Stegostoma tigrinum: one gene and its partner. Each later gene encodes a partner of the first gene's protein in a complex. Links are inferred from orthologs where the notes say so. Each region holds a gene or a part of one and is shown on either strand. Other genes may lie near its edges. The genes, in order: beta-klotho-like and fgf19.

Region 1 (15,991 bases):
TCAACTTGGTCAAAGATACTCTTTAGTGGTCCCAAAAGATGCCAGTCTTTGATTGCAAAGAGGATGATTGGCACGTTCCAAGTCCCAAAACTATGTGCTGAGGGATGCACTGAAACATGGTGCAGCCAAAAGACAAAATAGGGAAAGATCACTGCCTCAGGCTCTCTTATCATAATATATTCAGGGACTGAAAACTGTATATAAGACCACTCAGGCTGAAGCACTAGAAAATATTTGTCTTAGAAAGTGGTGTACATTGCAAAGATGGTCTGTAATTGCAAGGGCATTGAGCCAGCCTGATGTCGTGTGTTGAAAGAAACTGAACTATATTTCACATTATGTAATTTCAATTAAAATGTCAAATTTTTAAAAATCACAATGTTGTAACCTGGCTCTGGACAAGATTCCCCAACTTATTAGGGTTCCCCAATTTATTGGGGTTCCAGATGGGATATCTCAAATAATGGAGCTCCGAGGTCAGGAGAGATGAAATTCTTTATTCACCCACTTCCTCAGTTGACCACTACAAGTTTAATTTACAAAAAGATCCCCTCCTTTGTGGATACCTTTCTCCCAGACCAAATTAAAGTATGCTTTAAAAGGAGCCAATTTACCCACGCTTTTTTTGAGTTAACAACAGAGTAAGATTATTAGTTACTAAAAAAACAAGACGCAATACTAACATAACAATGTCATGTTGAGACTGTACAGGACATTGGTGAGGCCACTTTTGAAATACTGTATGCAATTCTGGTCTCCCTACTACAGGGAGGATGTTGTGAAGCTTGAAAGGGCTCAGAAAAGATTTACAAGAATGTTGCCAGAGTTGCAAGGTTTGAGCTATAGGGAGAGACTGAATAGGCTGGGGCTATTTTTCCTGGCACATCAGAGGCTGAGGGGTGACTTGTAAAGGTTTTTAAAATCATGAGGGTCATAGACAGGGTAAATAGCCAAGGTGTTTTCCCGGGGGTGGAGGAGTCCAAAACTAGAGGGCATAGATTACATATGATGCTGGGAAAAGATTTAAAAGGGATCTAAGGGGCAATTTTTTCACACAGAGGGAGGTATGTGTATGGAATGAGCTGCTAGAGGAAGTAGTGGAGACTGGTACAATTACAGCATTTAAATGCATCTGGATGGGTACATGAATAGGAAGGGTTTAAGAGGGATATGGGCCAAACGCTGGCATGGGACTAGATTTATTTGGGACGTTTGATTGGCATGGATGACTTGGACCGAAGGTTCTGTTTCCGTGCTGTTCATCTATATGCTTCTATGACTCAGTACACACACACACACACACACACACACACACACACACACACACACACACACACACACACACACACACTCAGATCAGTCTCTGAGTTGTTCGTGCGAACATTGTGGCCGTTGCAGTGTTTGGTACAGACAGTGTTGACATTGCCAATCAATATAAGATAGTCACTAACTATTCCAATAGGGAACTTAGAGGAACCTTTATTATCTGAAAAATGATGAGAATACAGACCTTGCCAACACAGGGAGTATTTTAAATGATTGGTTTGGACACATTTCCAGGCAAGATAGAGAAGTAAAAGAGTGAAGTGAATAATGGTTACGATGATAATGCAGGAAAATGGCACTAGCTGAGCAGGCACCATGGTCAGCAGGTACCAGCTTGGGCCGATGGCACTGTTTCCATGCTGTATTACACTATGACGCATTTAAATAAGCAAAGATGAAAGAAGTTTGGAATGGAGCATGAATATCAGCATAGGCTATTTGGGCTGAATTACCTGTTTATACGTTGTATATGCTTATAATCCTTATTACCGATCCTTCTCACATCCCTTATTGTCAATTTTCTTTGTAGGCTTCATGTATGATGAGAAAGAAACTTTTAAAAAATAGGTCAAATGGGAATGGAGAAATACATTTAATTTGCTATATTTCTGTTCTGCCTGTGTTTGTTTCATATTTTGCCTCTTTTGAAATTGCATGACAATTTTTAGTAAGGTTTTTTTTTCTCAAAAATACAATTAATACTTTTTAAAATTGTAACAAACAAAAACATGTTATTTCAACCCAACAGTTAAAATTAGTCTGGTTGAAAACATTAAGTTTTCCACCTGATCAAAGCCAGCTATAATAGATTTGTAAAAGATTGGTCAGCCTTGCCAAATCTGATTAAATGATTTGAAGAAGTACCTCGGTATTTGTCAAGGAAATGCCTACAAATTTCCGGATGGCATTTGATAAAAATGCTCACAATAGATGGTCTTTGTGAATGGAGATACATTTTCTCCTTCACTATTTACTCCACTAGTTTCCTTACTATTGATGTTAGACTCACAGGTCTGTAGTTTCCTAGACTATCTCTACCGTCCTTCCTGTAAAGTGGAACAACATTGGTTCTTCTCCAGCCCTCTAGTACCTCCCATGCCCATAAACATTCGGGTCAGGGATCTCTTGTTTCCCATAGCAGCCTGGGCTACAGCTCATTCGGACCTGGGGATTTGTCTCTTTTTAAATCGACCAAAACTTCTACTTTCTCACTTCTGCTCAAGAATTCCACATTCCATCTTCTTAAAGTCTGTATTTGCATCCTCTTTCTCCAGAGTAAAGACAGATGTCAAGTACTCATTTAATAATTTATCAATGTCTTCCAGCTTCATGCATAGACTTACCCTTGGTCCCTAATAGGTCCTTACTCTTTCTCAGATTATTCTTTTCTCTTTGACATATTTGAAGAATATCTTGGGATTCTTCCTGATCTTGCCCTCCAACACTTTCTCATGCCCCCTCTTTGCTTTCTTGAGTTCCTCCTATACTTTCTATACTCCTCTGTGGCCTCTGTTGAATTTTTTTCCCTTGTACCTGTTATATATCTGTCTTTTCTTTTCATCTGGTCTTGAATATTCCTAGACATCCAGGCTTCCCTGGGCTTATTGTTCTTACATTACATTCTAAAAGGCACATGTTGAGCCTGTACTCTCCCTAGTATTTGAAAGCCTCCCACTGTTCTGCCATAGATTTATGTACAATCTGACATAAAAAAACTCTCCAATATATACTTCAAGAAATCTGTACCCTCTAAACCCTTTATACAATGATTATCCCAATTAATATTGGGTAGACCATAAGACATAGGAGTAAGTAAGGCCATTCGGCCCATCAAGTCCACTCCACCATTTAAATCATGGCTGATGGGCATTTCAACTATATTTCCCTGCACTCTCCCCGTAGCCCTTGATTCCTTCTGAGATCAAGAATTTGTCGATCTCTGCCTTGAAGGCATCCAACGTCCCGGCCTCCACTGCACTCCGTGGCGATGAATTCCACAAGCCCACCACTCTCTGGCTGAAGAAATGTTGTCTCATTTCAGTTTTAAATTTACCCCCTCTAATTTTAAGGCTGTGCCCACAAGTCCTAGTCTCCCCGCCTAACGGAAACAACTTCCTAGCGTCCACCCCTTCTAAACCATACATTATCTTGTAAGCTTCTATTAGATCTCCCCTCAACCTTCTAAACTCTAATGAGTACAATCCCAGGATCCTTAGCCGTTCATCATACGTTAAACCTATCATTCCAGGGATCATCCCTGTAAATCTCCGCTGGACACGCTCCAGGGCTAGTATGTCCTTCCTGAGGTGTGGGGCCCAAAATTGGACACAGTATTCTAAATGGGGCCTGACTAGAGCTTTATAAAGCCTCGGAAGCACATTGCTGCTTTTATATTCCAACCCTCTTGAGATAAACGACAACATTACATTCGCTTTCTTAATTACGGACTCTACCTGCAAGAATCCCTAATGACTTGATCGATTTTTTTAAACTATTATGAAAAATACATAGGGTAGGTTAAAAGAGATTGTTTCCACTATTTTGGAAGTCTAAAATGATTCAGTTTAAAAATTAGCCTCAGGCATTTCAAGAGTAAATAACTCCTTTATGCAACACTAGCAACGATTTGGAAATTTCTTCTGCAAAGACCGATTAATCTGGAATCAATTATTAATTTCAGAACTGAGATTAATAGAGTTTACTAATGAAAGGTGTTAAGGGATTCGGGAAAAGGCAAACATATGGAGTTAAATCAGAGGTCAGCCACGGCCTCACTGAATGATGGAAAAGGTTTGAGGATTGAAATGGCTAATACGTGTCTCTAAGTTGCGAACAGTGAGACTGGTACATTCATTTTCTGTCTGCTCCTTTCACAAATGCACAGAAACCTGCATTAACTCTCTGTTTCAGGAAGTTCACTTTATCTTAATAAAGATATTGAGAATTTTTTTTAGCTCCTACTAGGGTTAGAACATTAGCAATAATTGAGTTAGAGTGAGAGAGGCTAAAGAGGGAAACAGAAAAAGGAAGAAAAAAAGAGATACTACGTTGTGTAACTTATTGTGTCCAACTTCCTTAATTATTCACCCTCTAAGACATGAGAAAATTTGAAGAGATTAAACAAATCTTTTTTGTCTCAACATACAAATTGCCTTAAATATGACTGATTCACTTTACTTTTCTCTTTATATGAGTCGCATTGTATAAACGGAACATGCAGGGTTGTTAGTGGAGAGGAAGTGGTACATCTACACGTATGAATTAGGAGCAACAGAGGTCATTCAGCCCCTTAAGCCTGCCCTGTCCTTTGACAAAATCATGGCTGATCCGACTGTGGCAGAATTGTGGCACTATCCTGCCTACTCCCTCCACACTTTGTCAATGAAGAAGTGACATAATTCATCTTTTAAAATATTCAGTGACCTGCCTCTATGGCTTTCTGCTTGGAGTTCAGTCCAGGGTCAAATAGGAATAAGAATGTCCTGGGGCTGCTGAAGTGGATGGGAAGGGGATGGAGTTGGGGAGCTAACATGGGACAAAGTTTGTTTTGGAGGCCGAAGGTAACCTTCTCACAATATTGAGTTGGAGGAAGCTATCATTCAAGCAGGATTTCATTATACAGACCATTTGATTGGATGTTTCTAACTGAGGCCTCAAAATATAATGTGGAAAGAAAGAGCTAGATATGATTAGCAAACTCTTGCCTGCAGATGATACCACAGATGAAATTTCCAAATCCACTTTGAATACACTTGTTGATTTCTTTAGAGCATCAATTCCTTCCATGCCTCCTGGTCTCATAGACCATTTCATTCCTGTGTGCAAAATCTCTTTTAGTGTTCCCAAAACCCAGCATTCACTAAAATAGCAGAAATATTCCCAAATACCAAAACCTCAGGGCAGCATAGTGACTCAGGAGTTAGCACTGCTACCTAAGAGCAGAAGGGACCCAGTTTCAATTCCAGCCTCAAGCAACTGTCTGTGTGGAGTTTGCACATTCTCTCTGCGTCTGCGTGGGCTTCCTCCAGGTGTTCCACAGTCTAAAGATCATAGATTGTTGAATCCCTACAGTGTGGAAACAGGGCCTTTGGACCAACAAGTCCACACCAACCCTCAGAGCATTCCACCAATACCCTTTCCCCATGACCCACCTAATCTACACGTCTCTGAACACTACAGGCAATTCAGATAGCCAATCCATCTAGCCTGCACATCTTTGGGCCGTGGGAGGAAACTGGAGCACCTGCAGGAAACCCACACAGACATGGGGAGAACGTACAAACTCCACACAGACAGTCACCCAAGGGTGGAATCAAACCTGGGTTCCTGGCGATCAGAGGCAGCAATGCTAACCACTGAGCCAGCATGCTGCCCCAAGTGCCATTCTAATTCTGGATTGGCCATTCTAAAATACTCATATGCAAGCTAGGCGGGTTAGCCATGGGAAATGCAGGGTTACAGGGATAGTAGGGGAGTGAGTCTGGGTGGGATGCTCTTTGGGGAGTCGGTGTGGACTTGTTGGGCTGGACGGCCAATTTCCACACTGTAGGGATTCTACATACTCTATATACCTCCATCACCAAGCTTAGGATCTCAACGGAGTGAGACCCAACCAGCAAGTCCTCATCATAGACTCGGTAACAGTGTCCATCATTTCAAAGTAACCTGTAACCAATTCCTAGTATGCAAAAGAAAATCAAACCTTGTTCAACACAAGAGCTCTGAAAATGAGACACAAAAGTGGTTTTCCTCTACCACACTAGACCAAGCAGGCCATGTAGATTCCTAAACTTAAAGATGATGGTAGCATCAAGCGTATTACATGTCAAGGTGCCTTGGTTTGACTGTACACACAACTACCTTCTGGATTAACTGTCCATGTAGAAGACGTTGAAAATAGGAGCAGGAACAGGCCATCCAGCCCTTACAGCTCCACCTTTCAACATGACCATGGCTGATTGTCTAAGTGGGTACCCTGCTCCTGCCTTCTCCCCCACACGCTTTGATTCCTATTGCCCTAAAAACTATATCTGACTTCTTTTTGAATATCTCTGAAGAAGCATCTTTTAATCTCATATCAGTTGACTTCCAACTTCCTGTATGCCCGACATGAATGAGTGAATGCACAGAAACTCACTGGGTTGTGTTCTCAATTCCCGTTATTGTCATTATCCAGATCAAGTTGTTCACGGATGTTATTACAGACTTCTGGAGCAGGGCCTCCTGGCTCAGTGATAGGGACACTATCACTCGCCCACAAGAACCCTGAATTCCTGTCCTAAGCTTATAATCGGCACATTCCTATACCAAGAATACAAGTTTGCATTAAAGACTCAGTAGAGCAACATGTATAAGAGTCAAAAAGAGATCTCAGAGTCAAACAAAACAGATAAAAGGTCAAAGGGAAGAGAGACTTAAGATTAGTAAAGCAGAGTCAATAAACTAAAATATTTGGGATATGTGACCCTCAGGCCTGATCTCCATCACATCCACTGCATTCTGGTAACAGTTCAGATGACAGTTCAATGGAACCATTCAAAGGCAGACCATATACTCAGTGGAGGGGCGGGACGGTGGCTCCGGTGCCTCAGTGGTTGTCACTGCTGCCTCACAGTGCCAGGGATCTGGGTGCAATTCTGCCCTCGGGTGACTGTCTGTGTGGAGTGTGCACATTCTCCCCGTGTCTGCATGGGTTTCCTTCAGGTAGTCTAGTTTCTTCCCATAGTCAAAACAATGTGCTGGCTAGGTGGATTGGCCATGCTAAATTGCCCGGAGTGTTCAGGGATTGGTCTGCATGGGTTGCTGTGTGGGTCAGTGTGGACTTGTTGGGCCAAAGGGCCTGTTTCCACATAGGGATTCCATGATTCTATGCAGTTGGGAAATTGCAATTGGTCATTTCGGGGGAAAAGCATCCACCAGCTTCTCAAGCCACATCAGAAGGTTTAATCAATAAGTCAATTAATGTATAGCAATTTTCAGGACAAAGATGTCAAATTCTGGAGTTTCCGGCAGTGCCAAGCAGGCTTCCCAGCTGCAGACAATCCCATCCACCCCTAAGTCATTTAAGATTTTTTTCAATTACCCCAACAGGTTCAGTGTTAAAGGACACTGGCAGATACAATCCTGGTGGATCTGTCAGCACTGTAGCTTGTGCACTTTCAGAATCTACGGTGACAATCAAAGAGAGAGAACAAAATATCGAGAGCACAGAACAAAAAAGAATTGATAGCGAAGAAAAGCAGAGAAACAATACAGAAAGAGATTGCACTTTGTTTGCACAAAATGTTAAGGGAGATCAATTATTGTGGGTGTAGGGAAAGGCTTCAGTGATCATATACAATGTACTAACACGCTTATGATTTCACAAGCTTCACTATGGGGTTCCATTAAGTTGACAGCTCGGTAAATAAAAAGACACATACAAAACAATACATTGTTAATTGCTTACATTACATGAATAGGGTATGTTTTTATCCAGTGTTGTTGTATATCTTATAAATAATGAATTCTGACACGAACCTATCCAATGTGCTGTTTCAGCAGCAATGTTTAAACAGTCCATAGCTAGGCGTCCTGAAGAAGCTAATCATTGACAGAGATCAGATATAACCACACACTTAAACTAGCGCTTGGTTCACTTTTAATGGAATCGGACGTGTGTCAGTTTTGTTTTGAACAAAAATGAACTGAATCAGGTGTGTTTTGGAACCCAGGCACACAGGATGAGTGACTGTGGGCTAAAGACACTTTTCATAGCTCTCTTTTTTCTTTATACTGGAGCCAATGTTACTGTTCAAGGAGATCCAGGGGCAGGAAAAGTTGTCTGGGGAAACAAATCGAGTCACAACGATATGAGGAACGGTGAGCTTTTCTTGTACGACACCTTTCCTAGAAACTTCATGTGGGGTGTGGGAAGTTCTGCATTTCAAATCGAAGGAGGTTGGAAGAAGGATGGCAAAGGACCTTCTGTCTGGGACAACTTTACCCACACTGAATACGTCAGATTTAACAATGCAACTGCAGATACTTCCAGTGACAGCTACACATTCTTCAATGAGGACTTGACGGCTCTCAAAAGCCTGGGAGTCACTTTTTATCTGTTCTCAATCTCCTGGCCCAGGCTATTTCCAAATGGATTGAAGGACTCTATCAATACCAAGGGTCTTCAGTACTACGACACGCTTATCAACTCCTTGTTAGAGAGAAAAATAACTCCCATTGTCACTCTCTACCACTGGGACCTGCCTTTGGCATTGCAAGAGCAGCACGGAGGCTGGAGCAGCAAGGCTATGATACAAATATTTAATGAATATGCTAAGTTCTGCTTTCAGGCATTTGGGGATCGTGTTAAGTTTTGGATCACAATTTACAATCCTTTCCTAATTGCCTGGCATGGATACAAAACTGGGAAATATCCCCCTGGATGGAAGGAGAAATCTGCAGCAATGTACACTGTAGGGCACAATTTGATTAAGGTAAACAAAATTGACATTTACTTTGTCATTTTTCCGATTAAATATTTTGGAAATTTTCTGAATTGCGCACAATGAAAGACATGCTATTGAAATTACTAGAGCACTGATTTTCAGAAATTTTAATCTGTTAATGAATCATTAATAATGGAGAATTGCATTCTTTCTCTTCCTTTTATAACGAAAACAGAAAGTGCTAGAGTTATTCAGCACATCTGTGGAGAGAGAGAAAGAAAATAAACATTTTGGATCAAATATGATATTCCTTCAGAGCACCGTGCAATTTCCAAATCCGTAGTATTCTTGTTTTTATTCTCCTGCTTTACACTGAAAAAATATTTTATCCCGGATGACAATTACATACTTTTTCACTTGCAGTCCACCTTTAATGTCCTCAGTCCACTTCAAGTGTGTCACTATTTTTCTCACATTTTTATTTTGTAAAGCAAACATGTATTTATTTCTTACTTTAATGGTGTTGCACGAATTCAAGGGGTTTCTCAACTCAAAGATTGAAATTGCTTATTCTGACTCACCTCTCTCAGCCTTTCATGATGGATAAGATGGGTCACTATATAAATACGAGTTATCCTTTGCAGGATGCCCTGACTCCAGATGAACATTAGTATTATGTAAAACGTTTCAAGATTTGTCTTGCGTAACTTCTAAGTTAAATAAGAAATGTTAATTAAATCGTTCATTATATAAAATTTAATTTCCAGATCTATCAATATTTATTTTACTGAAATTACTAAAAGCAGTCTACAGGGTCTGACAGGATTCTAAAGTGTTTCAAAACTGACTAAATTACAGCATGTGTGTCCAACCTTTGTTAAATTATACCTCATTCAGTTACTTAGCCTGGAATCTGTCTGGTGAGGAACACTAGTTGTGTAATATGAATTTTCTTTATTCTTTTGTGGGATGAGGTATCACAGCCTAGGCCAGCATTTATTGCTTATCCATATTTGCCCAGAGGATAATTAAGAATCAACTATATTGCTGTGGGTAGGCCAGACCAGGTATGCATGGCAGATTTCCTCCCCTGAAGGGCATTAGTGGACCAGATTCATTTCTTTTTACAACAATTGACAGTGGCTACATAATTGTCATTAGGCTCATTTTTAAACCTTGATCAAATTTCACCATCAGCCATGGCAGGATTTGAACCCATGTCCCCAGGACAAGACTCTGTATTATGAGTCCAGTGACCATCACCATTAGCCCAACCCCTCCCCAATGTCCCACTTACCAAATACATACCTTGGAGTAGCCAGGGAATAGTTACTACAAATTTGGAATGGGGCTTCTTTACACAGCACAACTGTGCATTCGATAACTCAATGGAAGTCGGTATCCCTCACCACGTCAACTTTTATTTACATATATGTAATACATGACACTGACCCAGCTAGCACACAGCCAGCTCCTAGAGTCAACAGTATCCCTGAGACTCCTGTTTATATCGTCAGCCAGGGTTCCCTGATTGAACCAGCTTAATAGCCCCAATCAGGGTACTGATATTCTATGAGATCCACTTGGGTAATCCTTTTACAATCACTATGTCCCTCCTCCTTTAAGTCCTGGACAAAGGCCTGTTCTTTTTCCTGTAACTTTTCCTGGGCCATTTTCCCACCAGGTCCAGTTCCTCCGATTGTACCTTGGAGACTCTCACCATGTACTAGACCATGGCCAGCCTCTTGCTCCTGGAGCATCTCAGAAGAAATTCATCTTTGTGTTCAGGTGGTAATGGTGTCAAGGCTCCATCTTGTCCTCAGAGGTTTCTTCAATGCTAGGTGGAGGAGAGAACCCAGAGGTTCTCATATTCTGCCAGATATTCTGAGGGGCTGGGAATGTTTTACCCTGATTCGTTTGCAAGGTTGCAGCTTTCATGTGGCCCATGTGCTTGTTCAGGACTTCCTCTCTGACCTGAACTTTGTACATCACATGACCTGACCTCATGTCAACCATGTCTCTTACCCATGCAGAGCCATTCCTGCTGTTTTAACACCAAACTTTGTCTCCTGAAGTAAATTGCCTCTCTCACTTAGAGGAATCCTGTGTATGGCATTGGTTTTCCTGATGCCATTTCACCACCCTCCACCCCACCAAAGTTGGGGAAGATCATTTTTAACCAAGTGGGGAGTCATCTTCCCATTGGCATCTCTACTGGAGCTGTCCCTGTAGTCGCGTGAGGGGTAAACAGGAACCGGGACAGTTTGGTACCAAGTGAACATGTAGACTGTTTCTTTAAGACTGCCTTCAAAGTTTGAACTGATCTTTCTGCCAGACCATTGAATGATGGATGATACGGAGCTGTCCTTACACACCAGATGCCATTGGACTTTAGGAAATACTCAAATTCCCGGCTGGTAAATGATCGCTTGTTGTCTGTACCCAACACCTCCGGGATTCTGTGTGTTGCAAAAGATGCTTGCAACTTTTCAATCGTCATCCGGTGTTTGACGAATGAATTTTGTACCCGTCCAACCCACTTTGAATGGGTTGAATGGCCTCCCAGGACACGTTCCAACATGTAACTGTACACACTCAGAATAAGAGCCCACTACTGAATTCAACCTGATTCTACGGGCGTCATGGCCCTGTTCGCTTTAAGTAGCCCTAACAAGGGTTTGTAGTCTGTCATTATTACAAATTTCTGTTCGCAATCGTATTGGTGAAACTTTCTCACATCAAAGACGACCCCCAAACCTTCCTTCTCTATCTGGGCCTATCTTTGTTCGGCATCAGCCAAAGTCCGGGAAGCATACGCTATTGGGCATTCCTCTTCGCTGGGCCATCGGTGAGCCACCACTGTCCCAATACCATACGGGGAGCATTGTGTGTCAGCTTGGGATCATAGTATACCAAAACTTTAGACAACGATAGCTGCTTCTTCATTTCCCTAAAAGCTACATCTTGGCCTCGAGACTATTTCCAAGGCTGATCCTTCTTCAATAGCAAATGTAACAGTGCCAGGACGGAGGCCATGTTAAGTATAAATTTTCCATAATAATTCATCAACCCCCTGCCTTAGAGAAACTTTTAAGCACTATGTCCAAGTTCTCTAAATGCTCTTTATTGGTCTTCCCAGTTTTTTGCATGTCATCCAGATAAATGGCACTTGGGGTGGACCTTGTAAAATGTTCTCCATCATCCCCTCGAAAATGATGCAGGCTGATGATACCCCAAAAAGCAGTCTCATATACCAGTACAAATCCTCATGGGTATTAATTGTAGCAGACAGCGTATAAGATTAACCTGGCTGGCCGCATTCCAATCACGACATGGCAGACTGGATATTTCCTATTTGAAAGTACTTTCATAATGGGTTATACAGAGGGTTTACTCTGGTCCTTTGATTTTGCAGCAGCATAATAATGAGCTGGAGGAGTGGGGACTCCTGTTCATTTTAAACTGCATCTTTTTCCTGGTATTTTCTTCCCACATTATCTGGGGTACAATTGTTGAGATGTGAAATAGGAGGAGCTTCCAATCACCAATCTCTGAGCCCTTCAAAAGTCCCAAACAGAAACTGACCACAATAGTAACTTATATCATTTTAAAATTTACAGAAATTTTCATTCCACATTTTAAGTTTTAAAAAAATCTAAAAGGTTGCTGCATCCATACAAACTTAAGTTTAGCTTATTGTTATTAATTACCGCTTAATATTTCCCATACGTCCAAAACAAAACTGTGTTACTCTGTGTTAATCATGTTTTCTCTTTCTTTATCTGCTCCTTTCCCCCTCAAAACTGTTGCATAACTTTTATCAATGGTTGAGAACTTTGCACAAGTGACACTCACCCTATAACCTTCCACAATATATCTTGTCTTGCTCGCTTCTCTGTAAAGCATTCCAGCTGCCAAGACAATTAACGTCTCCATTAAATAACAATTAAGGGACATAGAGAATGAGTACATGAGAGAATAAGTCCCAGTACAAGCCATCAATCATGTCAGGAGCAATGGTTCTTGGAATAGATAACAAAGTCTCACATGGACCACATATAATCCAAATTATAATTTGAACATTTATATACCAAGGAGAATTGTATGAAAGATGATAGGTATGAAAGTCCATAGTTATTCCTTGGGAGACCAACAAAACTACCACAAAATTTCACATCCCAAGTGCCTGGGTTATAACTTCTCCAAGTCAGTTGATAAAAAAAATTCTGCTGAATATGGAAATGAGCCATTAGACAAATTTCTGAAGGCGGTGTTATCAAAGGACATTAAGGAGAGAAATTATAGGAGATGATTGATGGCTCTGCACAGTTATGAACGCAGTTTTGAGCAGTTCGTGAGAAAGGTTGCCCAAAGGAACAATTTTAAAAGGATGAAAAAATTTGCCTTGATCACACTTCAGGGAATGCCAAAATGCTTTTAATCCAATGGGTTTTTGTTCTAAAGTGCAGCCATGTAATTTTGAAAGCATAAACAGGAAGTCAATATTCACATGGGAAGGTCTCATAAACAGTAAACCGAATGGGGAAAACTCCAAATACCAGAAACCCTAAATAAACGGAAATAACTGGAGACACACAGGGGCAGCCAATTCCTGCACAGCAAATAAAACAGATTATGACGGTTCAGGTACACAATTTCGGTGAATCGCCAACATTTTCTCTATTTGTCCCATAGGTGAGAGAAATGACGATTTAAACTGTTTTGTTTAGGGGTAATAGCTGTGGAAGAGTATAGTGAAATAGGACTGAACCTGCACAGCTTCACCAAGAGGAATCTGTTAGAATTCTTTGAGGAGGTAATGAGCCAGTTAGACAAAAGAGAGCAAGTGGACATGATCTATCTGGATTTCCAGAATGCTTGTGACAAGATACCGCACAGGAGGCTGTCAAATAACAAGTGTTGGGAGTGAAGTTCTGACAAGAATAGAGGATACAAATTTTTGGATCATTGTGGGATCTCTTCTGGGACAGATGTGACCACTACACAATTGGATGGGTTGCAGCTGAACTGGAGGGACCAATATTCTGGTGGGCAGATTTGCCACAGCTACCCAGCAGGGTTTAAACTAGTTTGCAAGGGGGTAGGACTCTAAGCAGTAGTGAGACGAGAGAATGTTGAGGCTGGTACAGAAACTTAGGACAGTAAATCAAGCAGACAAGACAGGCATGAGCACAGCAGAGAACAAGGAAAGGCTGATGAATTAAACTGCATTTATTTCAATGAATTTGTTTGGGGTGGCATGGTGATTAGCACTGCTGCCTCACACCACCAAGCACCCATATTCACCTCCAGCCTTGGATGACTGTCTGTGTGCAGTTTCCACGTGGGTTTTTTCTGCGTGCTCTGGTTTCCTCCCAGAATCCAAAGATGTGCAGGTTAGGTGAATTGGCTAGGTTAAATTGCCCATAGTGTGCAAGGATGCATAGGCTAGGTGGATAAGCTATGGGAAATGCAGGGATGCAGTAGATGGGTGAGTCTGCGTGAGATACTCTTTAGAGAGTTGGTATGGACTTGTTGGGCAGAATGGCCTGTTTCTACTCCATTGGGATTCAATGATCTATTTCTGCAATCACTTGTTTTAACATAATACAATGCAGACTATCAGGTCCAGGGATCTTGCTAGTGCGTAATTCCCTAAGTTTGCCTAGTATGTTTTCTTGAGCAACATTTAAGTTCCTCTCTCCACTCTCCCTTTTAGTCCTGATTTTCTATGATTAAGATGCATTTTCCCGTTGACAGGCTTAGTAGTGGAGTTTAGCATTCTATACTCATGGTTTAGCCAAACAGACAAAGAATAATCTATCTTCATTTATTGACAAAGCCAGGTGGGCATGAAGGTTGTAAGCAGAACACTAAGACCCTGCAAAGAGGTTCAGTGAATGGGCAGCAAGGTGGCAGATGGAGTGTGGAAATGTTAGGTTATTCATTTCTTAAGAACAGAAAAACATTTTTTTTTTAATTGTAAAACTGGTAAATGTTGGTGTTCTGAGAGACTCAGTTGTCCTTGTGCAGGTAAAATAAAAGTTAGCTTGCAGATACTGGAAGCAGAGTCGAAGGCAAATGACCTGTTCACCTCTAAAGCAAGGGGAATAGAATACATTTCAGAACAATGATGCAGATAAAATAATGATATTAAATCGGGCCAGTGCACGATGAAGAGAGAACAACCAGGTGCTAATGTTCCTACAATATTGCTGCTTATGCTCTACTGAATGTCAGAGGCCACACGAGAAGGGGATACTGTTGAAGTAACCTTGATGACTTACTTGTTGCAGTTCATCCTGTGGATTGTACTTACTGCAAACAGACTGAACTGATAGTGGAAATTAAGTCCAGTTGAAGTGGCACTTGTCAATCAAATTGTTTGATTGATGGCAACGAGCCACATATCACAGAGTAGCCATGTTGCCGTTATGATTGATCTAGAACGTTTATGGTTGAGGATTTAGTTATGATTGTGCTTGTACTGAAGGGGGGAACTGTAGTGGAAGGTAAAATGGAGCTGCCTATAAAATGTAAGGTAAATGTAATCTTGATCATTTTCTGCAGGCATTAGGTTAAAGTTAAAACCATCTTCCTCCCAAGGCTGCAATTTCTGATCCTGTTCATAGTCCATGTGGCCAAACAGTTCCAATCAATTTACCTGGAGCTATACCCACCACTACCTCCTAAGCACTTCTAACCAAATTGACTCAGTACTACATTATCTGATACATGAAAGTCCTGCTACCTGTTGTTTAAACAATATTTTGAACTTAAATATATTCCCACCATCACATTGAGGGAGACGCCAATATCCTCAACTTACATGGTGCTGGCAAAACACTGCCATAAATGAATGGAAGGCACAAATGTTTTTGCTCAAAATCGAAACAGAGGAACACACACAGGAATAGTTGCTATTATGCTGGGAGTTCACATGCAGTCTGCTTCATCTAACCTTTTACTTTGCATTCCCATGACAAGCAATAATCTTGCAGTAAATGCTGGGAGGGGAAGGAGTTATGCAAATAAACCTACATATTTCTGTTGTATGCAACTGCAGATACTTTCATGTTCCACTAAAGTGAACTGTGTTCAATATTAGAGGAGCAGGAAAGCTGACGTTATGGGTCAGGAGATAACAAGGTGTGGAGCTGGATGAACACAGCAGGCCAAGTAGCATCTTAGGAGCAGAAAAGCTGATGTTTTGGGCCTAGACCCTTCATCAGAAAAGG
Region 2 (15,795 bases), on another chromosome or scaffold:
AATGCTTAAAAATGTAAATATGATAAATCCACTCAAAGTTCATATTAATTTTATATTTATGTTGCTCTATTATTCACCTGGCTAACCATGATCTTAATTACATTTAAAGATTAGACTATTCAGGCCATCAGTGACCTTGCTCATTGTCATAGATTTATTTGTTTGCATTTATTCATTGCATAAGGGCATTACTGGCTAAGGCAGCATTCAAGAAGGAGCTCACCATCACCTTCTCAATCTATCAATCAATAAATAAACAAACAAACAAATAAATGCAGGGCAAGGCAGGGATGCCCTATTCCCCTGTATGAATTACTAAAGCTGCTGTTGCAGCAACAATATTTATATAGCTGACCCAACTCAGTTTCTGATCATTGCTAACCCCAGGATTTTGAGTGTGGAGAATTCAGTGATGACAATAATTGAATATCAAGGGGTGCTGACTAAAGGTAAATGTTACTAGCCAGTTATCATGGATATCCGTGATAATGGGAACTGCAGATGCTGGAGAATCCAAGACAATAAAATGTGAGGCTGGATGAACACAGCAGGCCCAGCAGAATCTCAGGAGCACAAAAGCTGACATTTCGGGCCTGGACCCTTCATCTGATGAAGGGTCCAGGCCCGAAACGTCAGCTTTTGTGCTCCTGAGATGCTGCTGGGCCTGCTGTGTTCATCCAGCCTCACATTTTATTACCATGGATATCCTCCAGGTTTCACTGCATTTGGCAAAAGGCTACTTCAGTATCAAAGGAATGGTGAAGGATGCAAAACTTGGTGCAATCAGTGAATGTCCCCATTGCTAGTTCAGTGACAATACCACTGACACTTCCTGACACATCCGGGGTGATGATAGTGTCGTCTGGGATATTGTCTGTAAAGCATGATTCTGTGAATATAGCTATGTCAGGCTCTTCCTTAGCTTGTCTGTGGGACAACTGGAATACTGTTTTCAGTTCTGTTCTGTCGGCTATAGGAAAGATATTGTTAAATTTGAAAGGGTTCAGAAAAGATTTACAAAGATATTTCCAGGACTGGAGGGTTTGAGCTATAGGGAGAGGCAGAATAAAGGGGGGCTATTTTCCTGGAGCATCAGAAGCTGAGGGGGCAACCTTATAGAAGTTTATAAAATAGTGAGGGGCATGAAAAGGGTAAATACTCAATGTATTTTACCCAGGCTAGGGAAGTCCAAAACCAGAGGGCATAAGTTTAAGGTGAAAAGGGAAAGATTTAACATGGACCTGAGGGGTAACTTTTTCACACAGATGTAGGTGAGTGTATGGAATGAGCTGCCAGAGGAATTGGTGGAGGCCGGTACAGTTACAAGATTTAAAAGACATCTGAATGGGTACAGAACAAAGAAGGATTTAGAGGGATATGGGCCAAATGCTGGCAAATGGGACTAAATGAATTGAGGATATCTGGTTGGCATAGCTGAGTTGGACCAAAGGGTCAGTTTCTGTGCTGTACATCTCTATGACTATATAATTCTATAACTCTTCCAATTGTGGTACGATACCATGGGTGTTGATAAGGAGGAAGTTTCAGTGTCAACAGGGCTGAGTTTGCCATTCTCATTTCCAGTGGCTACTTCGATGTTGCCTGTTTCTAATCACTCCAAAATAAAGATTGGCATGAAATAATTTAAAATGCATTTAAATGAAACCATTACACGTAAATTTCAAATTATACACTAGCCACACCAAGTGCAGAAATGGCAGATCCACTTCTCTGAAGAACTGTATTTGGCCAGTCAGTATTTTAAAACAATCCAATAAGGTTTATAGCTCATTTTGAAGAATTTGCTCGCAACAACTGCAAGTGTGAAGAAAGCAACCAAAAAGAAAATCTGTCCAAATGTTTTTGTACTTTACCCAAGCGATTACACTTCAAAATATATGATTTACCATAAGTTTGGGATGTCTTAAAGTTCCAAAGGGCACTATATAATTGCAAGTTGTTTTTAGTTGCAGTAGATTTCTAATCAATGTAAAATGGGATAGGAAATGATGTTAGCTTCTGGTTTGTTCTATTTGAAATATAGAACATAAAACACAGAACAGTACAGCATGGTACAGGCCCTTTGGCCCACAATGTTGTGCCGAACTTTTACCCTAAACCTAAGGTCTATCTAACCTCCACCCCTACCTTATACTATCATCCATATGTCTATGTAACAGCTGCATAAATGGCCCTAATGAGGTCGACTGCACTACCCTCTCCGGCAATGCATTCCATGCCCGACCACTCTCTGAGTAGAGAACCTACTTCTGACGTCTCCCCTATATCTACCTCTACTCACTTTAAAACTATGCCCCCTTGTAATAGCTACCTCCATCCAAGGGAAAGGTCTCTGGCTGTCCACTCTGTCTATACCTCTGATAATTTTGCACACATCTATCAAGTCTAAATTTTGCTTCAAATGTAAATACTTCCTAAACAGATTGGGAAATATAATATTACATGCTCAAGTTTCATGCAGCTACTTGTTCAATTGAAGCAGAATTGAATTCTTCAGTCACTTGCTCAGCTGTGAGGGAATGTCACCTGGTCTGTGGAAATTTGAAGCTATTGCAAATGCTGCAGATCCTTCAAATATGCAGGAATTCCTTAGAATGTTAGAACTCATCACATACTTTTGTTATTCCATTTCTGGAGAGTTCACTGCATCATCAGCCCCACAACCGCCCTTGCTACTAGTACCCACACCCCCTCCCCTCCACCCATACACAATCTGAGAAAAATAATCAGGAGCACTGGACTAAACCACACACAAAGGCTATATTGCAGATAAAAAGTAGTTGTCAGCAAGTTACATGACCATTTAATTTGACCCTGAGAATATCACTCAGTCATGGGTATAAATCTGGTTAGCTTGGGTGCAATTCTCTTGCAGAAAGACAAGGGAGGTAACTGATAAATCATTGCAATGGCAAGAAGATTCAGAATTTTTTTTTTGAGCAATGTTATTCACAAAACGAGTGGAGGCTAGCAGTTCAAGAAGCATCTCATCACCTTCTTGTCAAGGGCAATGAGAGGCAGCAATAAATATTGGCCTAGCCAGGGCAAGTCCAGAAGTGAATTTAAAAAGTGACAAAATCATTTTCAATGTATGGAAATGGGGTTTGAAATAATACCCAACAATAAGAGATTGCTCAACATTCTACACACAAACCAGCCAGTCGTAGAGTTTTGGACACTGAAGCTACGAAAGGTCAATTTCCATGTGTTTCACAGCATCTGTTAACAACAGTCAGCCTTAGTAGTCATGAAGGAGTGTGCCAAATAGCAACTTAACTTCAAAAATCTAAATGATGTGTCAATGTCACTAAAATTACCTGACTTCAAAGTGATAACAACAAAAAAGACAGCATTACAACTATGCGTGATGACTATGGAATGATAAAACTGGAAAGACCTGACTGAGATGTGTTTACAAACAAACTTTCTTACAATCAACAAGGTCTTGCACAATGTCCAAATTGAGCTCACCATTACAGCCAGATCTGATCTCATGTAACACACATTGTCATTTTGTGTTCATCGAGGGAATGTGTTGTCATTAAAACCATGAAAGTTACCAGGTAATTGCCAAAAACAAACTACTCATTAAAGAAATGGTATGGTTCCCACAAACTGACCTCAAGGTAGAGTAATTTTAAAGACAATCAGTGTTTACTATGCAAAGCATCCACAATGCCAAATTTTTGTGGTCCTCTGAAGATTCCTACATATTTAATAGTGTAACTGGTGAAGTTGACTGTATGCAATATACTTCAGTTCATTGTTGAAGACAAACCATTGAAATGTACAATGTCAAACATTTACAAATGACAGTGATGTAATGTGCTGAGAATTGTATGGTGCATTCTATTCACTTAAGACAACCATGCTCAAGTACCAACAGAGGCAGTCCCAATCTGGAATACTGTTTTTTTCCCACAGTGCCCGTGTTGTGTGCGTGTAAGTGCAGGGACTCAGTGAAGATACCATGTACAAAAGACTTTGTTCAATATTTCCATCACCAGGAAAACACCCATATGGCCAGGGAACCAGTAGCAAGCAAACACCAAGCAGTACTTAGGTGAAGAAATTGAAGGGGAGGGTAGGGATTAAATCAAAATAGAGCCAAATGGGGAAATAAACCACTCTATCCCCTGTGGTGCCCTCCTTTTCCTAAAGGCATCAAAATCTATGGTGGACACGTGCTCAGTTTCCAAGGAGACACCATGGAAAATGGACAGGCAGTCAGCTGAAATAACCCCCTCCACAGCCCACTGCATGGATCTGTTCAATGCCAGCCTGGCCAAGCCCCAGAACAGTCCTACGAGGAGATCGCCCTAACTGCCTGCACCCCTTCCCATGAGTGCCCAAAGGTCAGGAGCGTGGGGTTGAACTGCAACCAAAAGCATACCAAAAGGCTCTTTAAGTAACTGAAAAGGGAGTGCAAATGCTCATAACCAATATGCACACGGTCCACGGACTCTACAATACTGCAGAGCAAGCAATTAGGCAGTGAACCACTGCAATCTGCAGTTACAAGGGACTGCTACATGCAGCACCCTCCACCCCACATCCCCAAGGGAAAGAGCGAGGGCCCCCTCATAGACACCTGACCCAGAATGCTGTTATGGACAGTATTCCAGCATTTGACACTGAAGGAATGGTGTTATATTTCCCAACTCAGGATAGTGAGTGGCTTGGAAGGGAACTTGTGGGTGATGGCTTCCCCATGTATCTACTGACCTTGTCCTTCTGTGTGGAAGTGGTTGTCACTCTCAAAGGTGCAGTCTAAAGAGAGTTAATGAATTTCTGTAGAGCAACTGGTAGATGGTACACACTGCTGCTGCTGAACATCACTGGTGGAGAGAGTGGATGTTTGTGGATTTGGTGCCAATCAAGTTGGCTGCTTTGTCCTGGACGGTGTCAAACTCCTTGAGTGTTGTTGAAGCTGCACTCATCCAGGACAGTATTTCATTGCACTTCTGACTTATGCCTTCTAAATGGTCAACAGGCTTTGGAGAGTCATGAAGTGAGTTACTCAATGCAGGATTCCTAGCCTCTGACCTGCTATTGAAGCCACAGCATTTCTATGGCTGGCCCAGTTGAGTTTCTGGTCAATAGTAACCCCCAGGATGCTGACAGTGGGTGATTCAGTGATGGTAACACCATTAAATGCCAAAGGGGTACATTCACTTCAAAGTGTTTTTATCTCATTCTTTAATTTGTCCTTTCCATGTGGGAGTAAGATTATGTAAGTGCTGCTGGCCTCAGAAGTAAGGCTAAGCTATGAACGTTAAAATGCATTGTTGGCTCAAAGGGTGGCTTAGTGGTTAGCACCACTGCCTCACAGCACCAGGGGCCTGCGTTTGATTCCACCCTCTGGTGACTGTCCCTGTGTCGGTGTGGGTTTCCTCTGGGTGCACAGGTTTCCTCCCACACTCCAAAGATATGCAGGTTTGGTAGATTCTTGACAATCAGTCAAATTCAAGATGAGATTGAATGGTGGATTATTGAAAAGGCAGATGTAAACAGAGTGGCTAAATGTGATTAAACTGCTTTGCTTGTTTGGAAGTTATCTCTGAAAAGGACTACTTGACCAGGAAGACCTGTTTCTGCCTTGTAACTGCAATGACATTTCTATGTGCTAAGGTTCAAATGTGAAGTGTGGCCACATGCACCCCAGGATGACAACACTTGGATAGACTTGTATACCAGAAGAATGAAGGGGAGCAAAAATGGAGAAAAAACATTTTTTTAAAAAGAGTGGAAGTGAAATTTATGACGGTGCAAAATATTTGCAAGTGCTCTGAGCCGTTACTTAATTAAAACTATTTAAAATTAACTATTTATTATGCATCCTAAGCAGGATGTCCTAAATTTCAATGAATTCTGCCCCAATTATCAATAAATTCTTCTGAAACCAGGAGTAGTTGGGGATTTAAAGGGGATTTGTCTATGATAGGGAGCTGCCTGAAGGGAAGATAGCCTGAGATAGATAAGGAATGATAGTCTGCAACAGTCTTCAAAAGAGTGAATCTGTTTGGACAGAGAAATAGCAACTGATCCTGGGCTGACCAGGTTTTCAAAGAGTGAACAAAACCTCGGCAGAGCAGGAGGAGGCCAGTTGATGGATGGTTGAGGCAGGAACTCAGGAGGGAATCCGAGGGAGCAAATACTGAGGCAAACGGGAGACAGGTTTTGGAGACAGATGCACAGAATGGTCAAGCGGAAGGGGAAAAAAAATCAATGGCACGGAATGAACAAGATGGTCTGTGTAAACAGAGAAGGGTGCCAGCAAGATAAAAGAGGCTCCAACAAAGAGGCAGAGACAGAGAAAATCAAAACAAAGAGGCAGAAAAGCAAAGACCAAAAATCAAAGAGAAACACAGAAGAATCAAAGGCAACTGAAAGACAGCGAAAATGAAACAAAAAGTGAGCTCTGGCCATTTAATATGACTGGCTTTTCTTTGTATTGCTAGTGTTCACTAGTGTGGGTTTCTTTTTGTAAGCGCACAATTTGCGAAAAAGCCTTTGTTTGGAGCGTGCCTTTAATGCCCTGATGCTCTCTGGTTGAGGGTCCAGGGAACAATCAAACTTACAAGGAATGGATCCCCCCAGAGATGAGAAGTACCATGGAAAAGAAATCCGGTCCCTGTCTAACAACGTTGCTGCATGTGCCAGGAGAGATGCAAAGCAGATCGTTGCCTCTTAACCTCTTTCATCTTTTCGCACCATCTCAGGGGTTTTGTTAGCACCGGCCGGATCGTTGCCTCGGAGCTGTCTGTGATGCGAGAGTGCCCTCAGCCGGCTTTAGCTGGCAAATCCCACTGAGACTAAGAATTCCTCCTAAACATAACCCCACAACATTTTCCTGCAAAGCAAGACACCCTTCTAAGTTCTCGGCCGGAGCTAGGATCGTCCTGAACAATACAGGAGCCGAAACAATGGAAAATTTTGGGTTTCCTTCCCGCTGATGTATTTGCCTGAAAAGCTCTGTTTTCTTCCGGTGCACAGACTCAAATCCTCATTAAATACTGACTTCCCCAAAGACCGGTTCATCACCGCTTCCTAATTCCGTGAGGTGTGTTTCCCGCAATGATCTGACCATGCAGGGTCTCTGTTAGAGTGGGGGCCATTCCCAGGGCAGCCTAGTTTCAGAATCGCACTGAATGACAATGTTATAAAGCTGGGGCACTGTTAAACACACACACACACAGATGGTTAAACACGCTCACAGAGAGATACACGCACACAGACACACACAGATACACAAATATAGACATTTACAGACACACACACACACATACACGCATACACACACAGGCACACACACCGACACACAGACACACACACCGACACACACAGACACACACATGCATACTCACACAGAGTCACACGCACTGACATACACACACAAACACCCATGCACACACGCAGACACACACATGCAGATACACACACACACGCACACAGTGTTCAAGGTTGGGATATCCCTGAGCTTCTGTGATGCAAGACACGAGTGGGCGGGCATTTTAAAAGAAATACTATTATGACCGAGTTTCAAATAATTCTTTTGGGAGCAGGCGTATCGATGTTGCTGATAAGCAATGATCCCTTTAAAAGGCTGCGCCCCTAGGTCTGTCTGATCAGAGACACACACAGAGAGAGGAGAACCTGCCTGAATCTCTCTTTGCCTACATCAATGTCTACTGTCTGGGGTTTCCCGGAGCTAGCCCATCGCCGGCTAGCCCGCTACAGGACGGGGCGAACGGCCAGCTGGCTCCTGCTCCTAACCCAGCTGAGCCTGGTTTGGGGGTCGGCAGCACAGCCGCTCGCATCCCCGGACTCGGGCCCACACTTAGACTCGGGCTGGGAGCAGACGATCCGCTTTCTGTACCTGTACACCGAGCACAGCAAGGGAGGCGCCAGCAGCTGGCATTTACAGATTAACCAGGACGGCACAGTGGGCGGCAGCGGGGAGCGGAGCCTATACAGTGAGTCTGCAGCTTGCTTCATCCTCTCCCACCCTCACTTTACTCATTCATTCTGTTTCACACGTTCACTTTCATACATTCTCATTCGTTCACAGTCATTCATTATCGCTCACACACATTCACTCGCACACACACTTTCACAATCATTCATCCACACAATTTCACGCTCACTCATTCACACACACGCAGTTATTCACGGTCATTGTCGCTCACTCATTTACTCTCACTCTCGATCACCTACTCACTTGTTCACACACAGTCATTCACTTTCTCACACTCACTGTACCTCATGGGGCTCACTTAGTGGGGGTAGGGGGAGAGGGCTGTGTTACTGAATTAAGTCAAAGATCTGCAGATGCTAGAGCTCTCAAACAAATAGAAAAACAGAATGTGCTCGTGAAACTCTGCAGATCTGGCAGCATCTGAGGAGGGAGAAACAATGCGGATTCAGTGAGTGACCCTTCTTCTGAAGCAATGGATCCGAAACATTCACCCAGCTCCTGTCTGTCCAGCTGCCGGGCGCGCCGAGATTCTCCAGCAGTTGCGTGTTTGAGTGTATGTGTTCCTCACTGAGTCCCAGACTTATCAGAGAGAGGGGGAGAATAAATTCCCACCTGATTGGGAACTGGCTTCAGCAAACCGGGGTGGAGTTTGGGAGCGAATTTAATGTTCGCCAGACCAACGTAAAGTTTTGGTTTTATTAAACATCAGTCACCGAGTTCGTTTCTGCCATTGATTCAAGGGTGAGAGTCCCTCAGGAGGCCTTTCGTGGCGGAGTGAGGGAACTGAGTGCTGCGGGACTGATCTCCAGGCATCTCTGTCCAACTCCCCCCCTTCCCCTAATACATAGAAATATAGAAAATAGGTGCAGGTGGAGGCCATTCGGCCCCTCTAGCCTGTTTACACCCCCCGACCCCATTTCCTTTGATCCCTTTAGCCCTGAGAATTATCTACAAACCCTTCCGGAAACATTCACTGTTTTGATCCCAGTTGTGTTCTGTGGCAGAGAATTCCCGCAGGGTGACCGTCGGTCCACTATTTCTCAAAGAGGGGCCCCCGCAGTGAGCGAGGTGCGTGTTTCCACAGGCCAGGGGAGAACTGCATGTGGCAGTGAGTTTCACCAAGCCCTGTAACTCTTCCCTAGCAGGCAGAGGCTCCTCTCCCTCAGCGCTGTGCTCTGAACGTTGGACCTGCTTTGTTTAAAAAGTCATATCATAGTCTATTCCAGACCTGGCCCGGGTTTGAACGTCCCGCTGACCCCGTGCTGTTTCCCTTGCAGGTCTCCTGGAGATGAGGGCGGTAGCCCCGGGCGTAGTGGCCATCAAAGGCTACCTGAGCGGCCGCTACCTGTGCATGGAGAGGGACGGCAGGCTACTCGGATCGGTAAGTCCTCACCCGGAAGCCCCAGCACTTTCCGGGATTCGCCCACAGTGCACTGGGAGAGGGAGAGGTCGGCTCTCGTGTGTGTGTGTGGATGAGCCTTTGGAGACTGCTTGTGTGTGTGTGTGTGTGTGTGTATACGTGTGGATGGGTCTGTGGGGGGTTTGTGTGTGTGTGTGCGGATGGGTCTGTGGGGGGTTTGTGTGTGTGTGTATATATATATATGTGTGTGTGGATGGGTCTGTGGGGGGTTTGTGTGTGTGTGTGTGGATGGGTCTGTGGGGTGTTTGTATGTGTGTGTGTGTGTGTGTGTGTGTGTGTGTGTGGATGGGTCTCTGGGGGTTTGTGTGTGTGTGTGTGTGTGTGGATGGGTCTGTGGGGGGTTTGTGTGTGTGTGTATTGTGTGGATGGGTCTGTGGGGGGTTTGTGTGTGTGTGGATGGGTCTGTGGGGGGTTTGTGTGTGTGTGTGTTAGTGTGTGTGTGTGGATGGGTCTGTGGGGGGTTTGTGTGTGTGTGTGTGTGGATGGGTCTGTGGGGGATTTGTGTGTGTGTGTGTGGATGGGTCTGTGGGGGGTTTGTGTGTGTGTGTGTGTGTGTGTGTGTGTGGGTGGATGGGTCTGTGGGGGGTTTGTGTGTGTGTGTGTGTGGATGGGTCTGTGGGCGGTTTGTGTATGTGTGTGGGTGGATGGGTCTGTGGGGTGTTTGTGTGTGTGTGTGTGTGTGGATGGGTCTGAGGGGGTTTGTGTGTGTGTGTGTGGATGGGTCTGTGGGGGGTTTGTGTGTGTGTGTGTGTGTGTGTGTGTGTGTGTGTGTGTGTGTGGATGGGTCTGTGGGGGGTTTGTGTGTGTGTGTGTGTGTGTGTGTGGATGGGTCTGTGGGGGGTTTTTGTGTGTGTGTGGATGGGTCTGTGGGGTGTGTGTGTGCGCGTGGATGGGGCTATGGGTGTGTGTGTGTATGTGTGTGTTTGTGGATGGGGCTGTGCATCTGTGGGTGTATGTGGGCTCTATGTGTGAGTGTGTTTGGATGAGTCTGTGCATGTGGAGACCTATGTGGCGGGGTTCTGTGTTTGGGTGTGGGCTGTGTTTGAGTGTGAGTCTGTATGTGTGAGTCTAATGTGTGTCTGATAATATGGGTCCGTGTGCATCTGTGTCTGTGGCTATGTTTGTGTGGGTGAGCGTGGGTCTGTGTTTGTGTGTGTTGGGGTATGGTGAGTGCATGTGCGTGTGTTATGAGAAATGTGTGAAGCCTGGGTCTAAACTGGATGGAGTTGAAAAGGATGAGAGGGGGATCTAATTGAAACTTACAGAATACTGAATAGCATGGACAGAGTGGATGTTGGAACATGTTTCCATTGGTAGGAGAGACTGGGACCCGAGGGCACAGCCTTAGAGTAAAGGGAAGACCTTTTAGAACCGAGATAAGAAGAAACTTCTTCAGCCAGAGAGTGGTGAATCTATGGAATTCACTGCCACAGAAGGCTGTGGAGGCCAGGTCATTGAGTATATTTACTACAGAGACAGATAAGCTCTTGACTGTCAATGGAATCAAGGTCAAGCGGAGAAAGCAGGAAAATGGGATTCAGAAACTTATCATAATTGAATGGTGGAGCAAACTCAATGAGCTGAAGGGCCTAATTTCTCTTCCTATCTCTTATGGTTGTAAGGCTTATGTGACTGTGTGTGAGGGGATGTGATGAGTGTGTGCTTGTATGGGTGTGTGTGGGTGCAGGGAAGTGGTGAGTGGGAATCTGGGAGTGTGTGTGGGGTTGTGGTGAGTGGGAGTGTGTGTATATGCGAGTGTGTGTGTGTATTTGGGAGTGTGTGTGGAGGTGTGGTGAGTGGGAGTGTGTGTATATGCGAGTGTGTGTGTGTATTTGGGAGTGTGTGTGGAGGTGTGGTGAGTGGGAGTCGGTCTGGGAGTGTGTGTGGGGATGTGGTGAGTGGGACTGTGTGTATGTGTGAGCGTGTATGGGGATGTGGTGAGTGGGAGTATGTTTGGATGTGGGGTGGGCAGTTGTGATCAGTGGGAGTGAGTCTGGGAGTGTGTGTGGGGATGTGGAGAGTGGGAGTGTGTGTGTTGGGGGGAGTGTGTGAATGTATGTGTCTGGGAGTGTACGTGTGGTGTGGTGAGTGGGAGTGTGTGTGTGTGGATGTGGTGAGTGGGAGTGGGTCTGGGAGTGTGTGAGGGGTTGTGGTGAGTGGGAGTGGATCTGGGAATGTGTGTGGGGTTATGGTGAGTGGGAGTGTGTGTATATGCGAATGTGTGTGGGGTTGTGGTGAGTGGGAGTGGATCTGGGAATGTGTGTGGGGTTGTGCTGAGTGGGAGTGTGTTTGGGAGTGTGTGTGTGTGGTGAGTGGGAGTGTATGTGCTAGAGAGAGCATGTGTGTATATGTGTCTGGGAGTGTATGTGGGGGTGTGGTGAGTGGGAGTGTGTGTGTGTTCGGGGTGGAGTGTGTGTGTATGGTAGTGTGTTGTTGCCGCTTTAACAGTAATTTCACCAGTTGCCTTATTCTCTGGAGTAGTTCCCTTGTGTTGGCCGCTGGTCTGTTGTGGGGTTAGTTTATATGTCCCAGAGTTCAGTGACCTGTAGATCCACACTTGTAGCCCCGGGCGCCAGTATTGTCAGCTGTCAGCACGAAGAAGCATGGAACCACATTAGCTAATCACTCTTCTTTTTTATTACCACCATTCCCCTCTCCCTCCCACCTGACCTTTTGTTTTTATCACTCATCCAGCTGACCTACAATGAAGCTGACTGCTCATTTAAGGAGCGCTTGTTGTCTGGCACCTACAATTTGTATTGGTCGGAAAAGTACGGAGCTGCTGTGTCCCTGAGCAACAGGAGGCAGCGAGGCCACACAAGAGGCAGAGCATTCCCTCCCTTGTCTCAGTTCCTGCCCATCCGCAACACACAGCCTCTCCCCCAAGTCCCTGGGGACCAGTCCAGGGACACTCCTGAACTTGACTCACTGCCGTCTTCAGTGATTCAGGTCAACAGCATGGACCCCCTGGACTTCACGTACGAAGCCACATGAACTGGGTGTATTTCAGACCCATGACTGCACTGCACTTTTCCTTTGGACTGAATTGCTTTGTCCTCAGTTGTCCTGCTGTGTTGAAGAGGTGACAGACAGTGTTTGATTGTGAGGACTCTCTTCGTCACTCTCGAGATTAAAAAGAAACAGTTTGAGTGTCACCTTGAATGAATTGATTCTTATTATAAATATGTAACTGCGAAGCAGGTGAATTATTGACTGATTGTAGATAGAGCAACATTAGAGGCAATGTTATAGACTTGTGTAAAATGCAACTCCACTGAGAGAACGGATGCAGAGCATAGGAACCCTGATGTATTATAGAAAATAGAAGGTTCAGGGTAAAACCAGATGAAACATGGAGAAAGTAGCATTAACCTTATTGTAAGATTTAGGATACAAGGTAAATAGTATAAATCCCCATTCTATTGAGAATAGAGGGATCTGTGTATATCCTTATCATGAGATGCAGGACAAAAGAAACTAAGTAGGAAGAACAATTATAGGTTCAGTTGAACAGGAAGGGTTTAGAGGGACATGAGCCAAATGCTGGTAAATGGGACTAGATTAATTTAGGATATCTGGTCAGCGTGGATGAGTTGGACCAAAGGGCCTGTTTTGATTTTTCCATCTCTATGACTCTTGTCTCCTATATGAGAGGATAGAATGCAGTTTAAACTATCTTTATTTAAGAAAGAAGTTTGGAGATAGAGATTTGAATTACACCTGAGGAGCTAGGGTCCAGTTAAAACCTTTATAGGAAGAGGATTTGGAAGCAAAATTTAACATTTTTCAACTAATTGCTGAGCTCGATTTAAATTGTGTCCTGCTTGAGTTGATGAAGAAGACAATTTATGCGCTATCAGCTCATTAAGATGAGGCTTCTGGGGGCTGATATTCAGGATGAAATGTACAACTCCAGTGCACCATTGGAAGAGAGGGTTCCAAATGTTACAGATCTGGTCCCATTACTAGGACAATCACAAAATAACTCTCGAAACAAAAAAAGTTCATAAACTGGAACTGTAGTACCAAATATGCATCAAGTATTTGTTGTTGCAAAATGTACAAGTTTGTCCTGTTGAATTTGAAGGAGTTTAGCATGAAGGAAGTTGATTGCAAATTCACATAAACAAGCACTTGACCAATTTGAAGGTATTTATAATTAACTTATTGCATACAGTGGTTCCTTCTATTTTGCTATTATATTTATGTACATATATTTATACAATTTTCCACTTTTTTGTAATTCAGTTCAAATGAACCCGTGTTCATAGAAAGCTAATTTTTTTCTGTTTGAATGATTAATGAATTAAAGCAAACAAATTATTTGAAGGTAAATGTTAAGGCTTGAATGGTATGTAATTAATTGACCATTTTAGTAGGCAAAATATAGCTGGTGTCAACAGATGAAATAAATCTGCCAGGTTTTCATAGTTTTTATTTTGTACCTCAAATTGTGAATAAACAATAAGAAATTATTCATGTCTTTGTGAATTAAAATAAAATGTATCTAAAATTTCATAACAATTTATCTGCATTTCTTTACTTATATTATTTTTAAAAGAGTGGCTACTGTTCATTCTACTTAAAGGACACACTACTGGAGTTCATCAAACCATTAGCTTCTCAAAAGCACCAATCATTAAAATACCAACAAAGCAGATAGATCAGGGCAACATCATTTACTAAGCTCTTTAGGTCAAATACCACCCTGACTTGGCAATATATCACTATCCCTTCACTGTTATTGAGTTCAAATCCTGCAAATTCCTCCCCAACAGCACTGTGGGAGTCATGTTTCTGAGGTGGGCCCTTGAGCTTGAGAACAACCTGCATCCATACCTCTTCCAGTTGGTTCAGAAATAGCTAACAGGCTGGATGTGCAATGTGTCAGCTCTGCCATGAGTCAGGCACATAATACTCGAAGTCATTGTTGTTTTGGAGGTTTGGGCATTCTGTCTGAGCCTCAACTTAACCTCTGCATGCTTCTGATGAAGTCTCATGCTGTGTTCAGTATCTTCCTGAATGAGATCATAAGGTGTAAAAGCAGAAGTAGGCCATTCTGCCTATCAGATCCATTCTGTGATTCAGTAGAATCATGGCTGATCTGATCATTCTCGACATTACTTTCCTCCCTTTTCCCCATAACCCTTGACTCCATTACTGATGAAAACCTGTCTCTCTCAGCCTTTAATATACTTTATGGCCCAACCTCTACACTCCTCTGTGGTAAATAATTCCATCGATTCACTAAGCTCTGAGAGAGGAAGGTTCTCCTCATCTCTCTCTTGAAAGGATGACCCCTACTCTGAGATTATACCCTTGCGTCCTAGATTCTCCCACAAGGAAACCCAACTTTACCCGTGTCATTCGAGAATGATGTGTCCCAATCAATGGAGCTGCTTTCAAGTCAATGTCTCAATGCTGACTCTGTTGGCTCATGAGAGGATGCTGCTGTTGGAAGATCTTTCTTGCCAAGGCTTGTGGGATATCTCCAATGTTGCCTACTGTAGATTGTCCATGTCTCTAAAAGCTATTAGAAGATCTTCATTGCACCAAGCAATAGTGGATCGAAACAGTTACCAGCTTTTTCTCAGAGATAATCATGGATTGCTTGTTTAGCAATGTTTATATCCAAAACTATCAAGATAAAATTATGCAGACTGTGCAGGACAGAAACGTGTCATCCAGCCCTAGCAGTTTATCAATCCTTATGTCCTGTGCACTCCATCTCTCCTCATCTCAATCTGTCAGTTTAACTCTTTATTATCTTGTCCCTCATGTTCTTGTCTGATTTCTCCATAAATGTATCTCCACTGTTACCTCAAACAACTCCCTGAAGTGGAGGTGCTGGTGCTTGACTTGCTGGACAAAGTCAGAAGTCACAGAACACCAGGTTACAATCAAGCAGGTTCATTTGAAATCACGAGCTTTTGGAGCAGAGCCCCTTGGTGAGGTGAAGTGAGAGAGATTCAGACAGAAACAGAATTTATAGGCAGAGAGATCAAAGGCAGAGACATCCAAAGACCATACAAATGGTGTGAGTAGAATGCCGAATAATAAGTCCATGCAGGTGATCTGAAGTATTAGATGGTGTGAGTAAAGTGTCAACACAGTGTGGAGCTGGAGGAACACAGCAGGTTAGACAGCATCAGAGGAGCAGGAAAGTCAATGTTTCAGATTTATACCCTTCAACATGATGGGTGCAAATTCAAAACATTATCTTTCCTGTTCCTCTGATGCTGTCTAACCTGCTGTGTTCCTCCAGCTCCACACTGCGTTGACTCTGACACCAGCATCGGCAGTTGTGCTATCATTAAGTGTGAACAGCTGAATAGTAACTTCAATAAGGCATTTGATAAGGTTCCCCATGGTAGGC

The links.
Region 2: the proteins of beta-klotho-like (region 1) and fgf19 are in contact, whole or in part, in a crystal structure (PDB 6NFJ), measured with the Homo sapiens proteins. The link is inferred for Stegostoma tigrinum from reciprocal best matches to the Homo sapiens genes KLB and FGF19. Residues at the interface, in NP_783864.1 of Homo sapiens: Phe379, Lys380, Val392, Leu394, Trp419, Phe420, Thr421, Asp422, Val425, Thr431, Tyr434, Met435, Asn438, Tyr643, Glu693, Arg696, His743, Asn824, Phe826, Met832, Gln848, Phe849, Leu850, Gln851, Ile853, Leu862, Phe931, Phe942; in NP_005108.1 of Homo sapiens: Leu192, Thr194, Asp195, Ser196, Met197, Pro199, Phe200, Leu202, Val203, Thr204, Ser211, Pro212, Ser213.

The regions. Positions count from the first base shown.
Region 1 is NC_081354.1:98,357,343-98,373,333, forward strand, and holds the start of beta-klotho-like, read left to right. Parts: upstream 1-7,959; 5' UTR 7,960-8,048; coding exon 8,049-8,801; intron 8,802-15,991.
Region 2 is NC_081370.1:61,787,271-61,803,065, reverse strand, and holds fgf19 (fibroblast growth factor 19), read left to right. Parts: upstream 1-7,591; 5' UTR 7,592-7,705; coding exon 7,706-7,997; intron 7,998-9,276; coding exon 9,277-9,380; intron 9,381-12,113; coding exon 12,114-12,413; 3' UTR 12,414-13,859; downstream 13,860-15,795. UniProt on the Homo sapiens protein: Involved in the suppression of bile acid biosynthesis through down-regulation of CYP7A1 expression, following positive regulation of the JNK and ERK1/2 cascades. Stimulates glucose uptake in adipocytes. Activity requires the presence of KLB and FGFR4.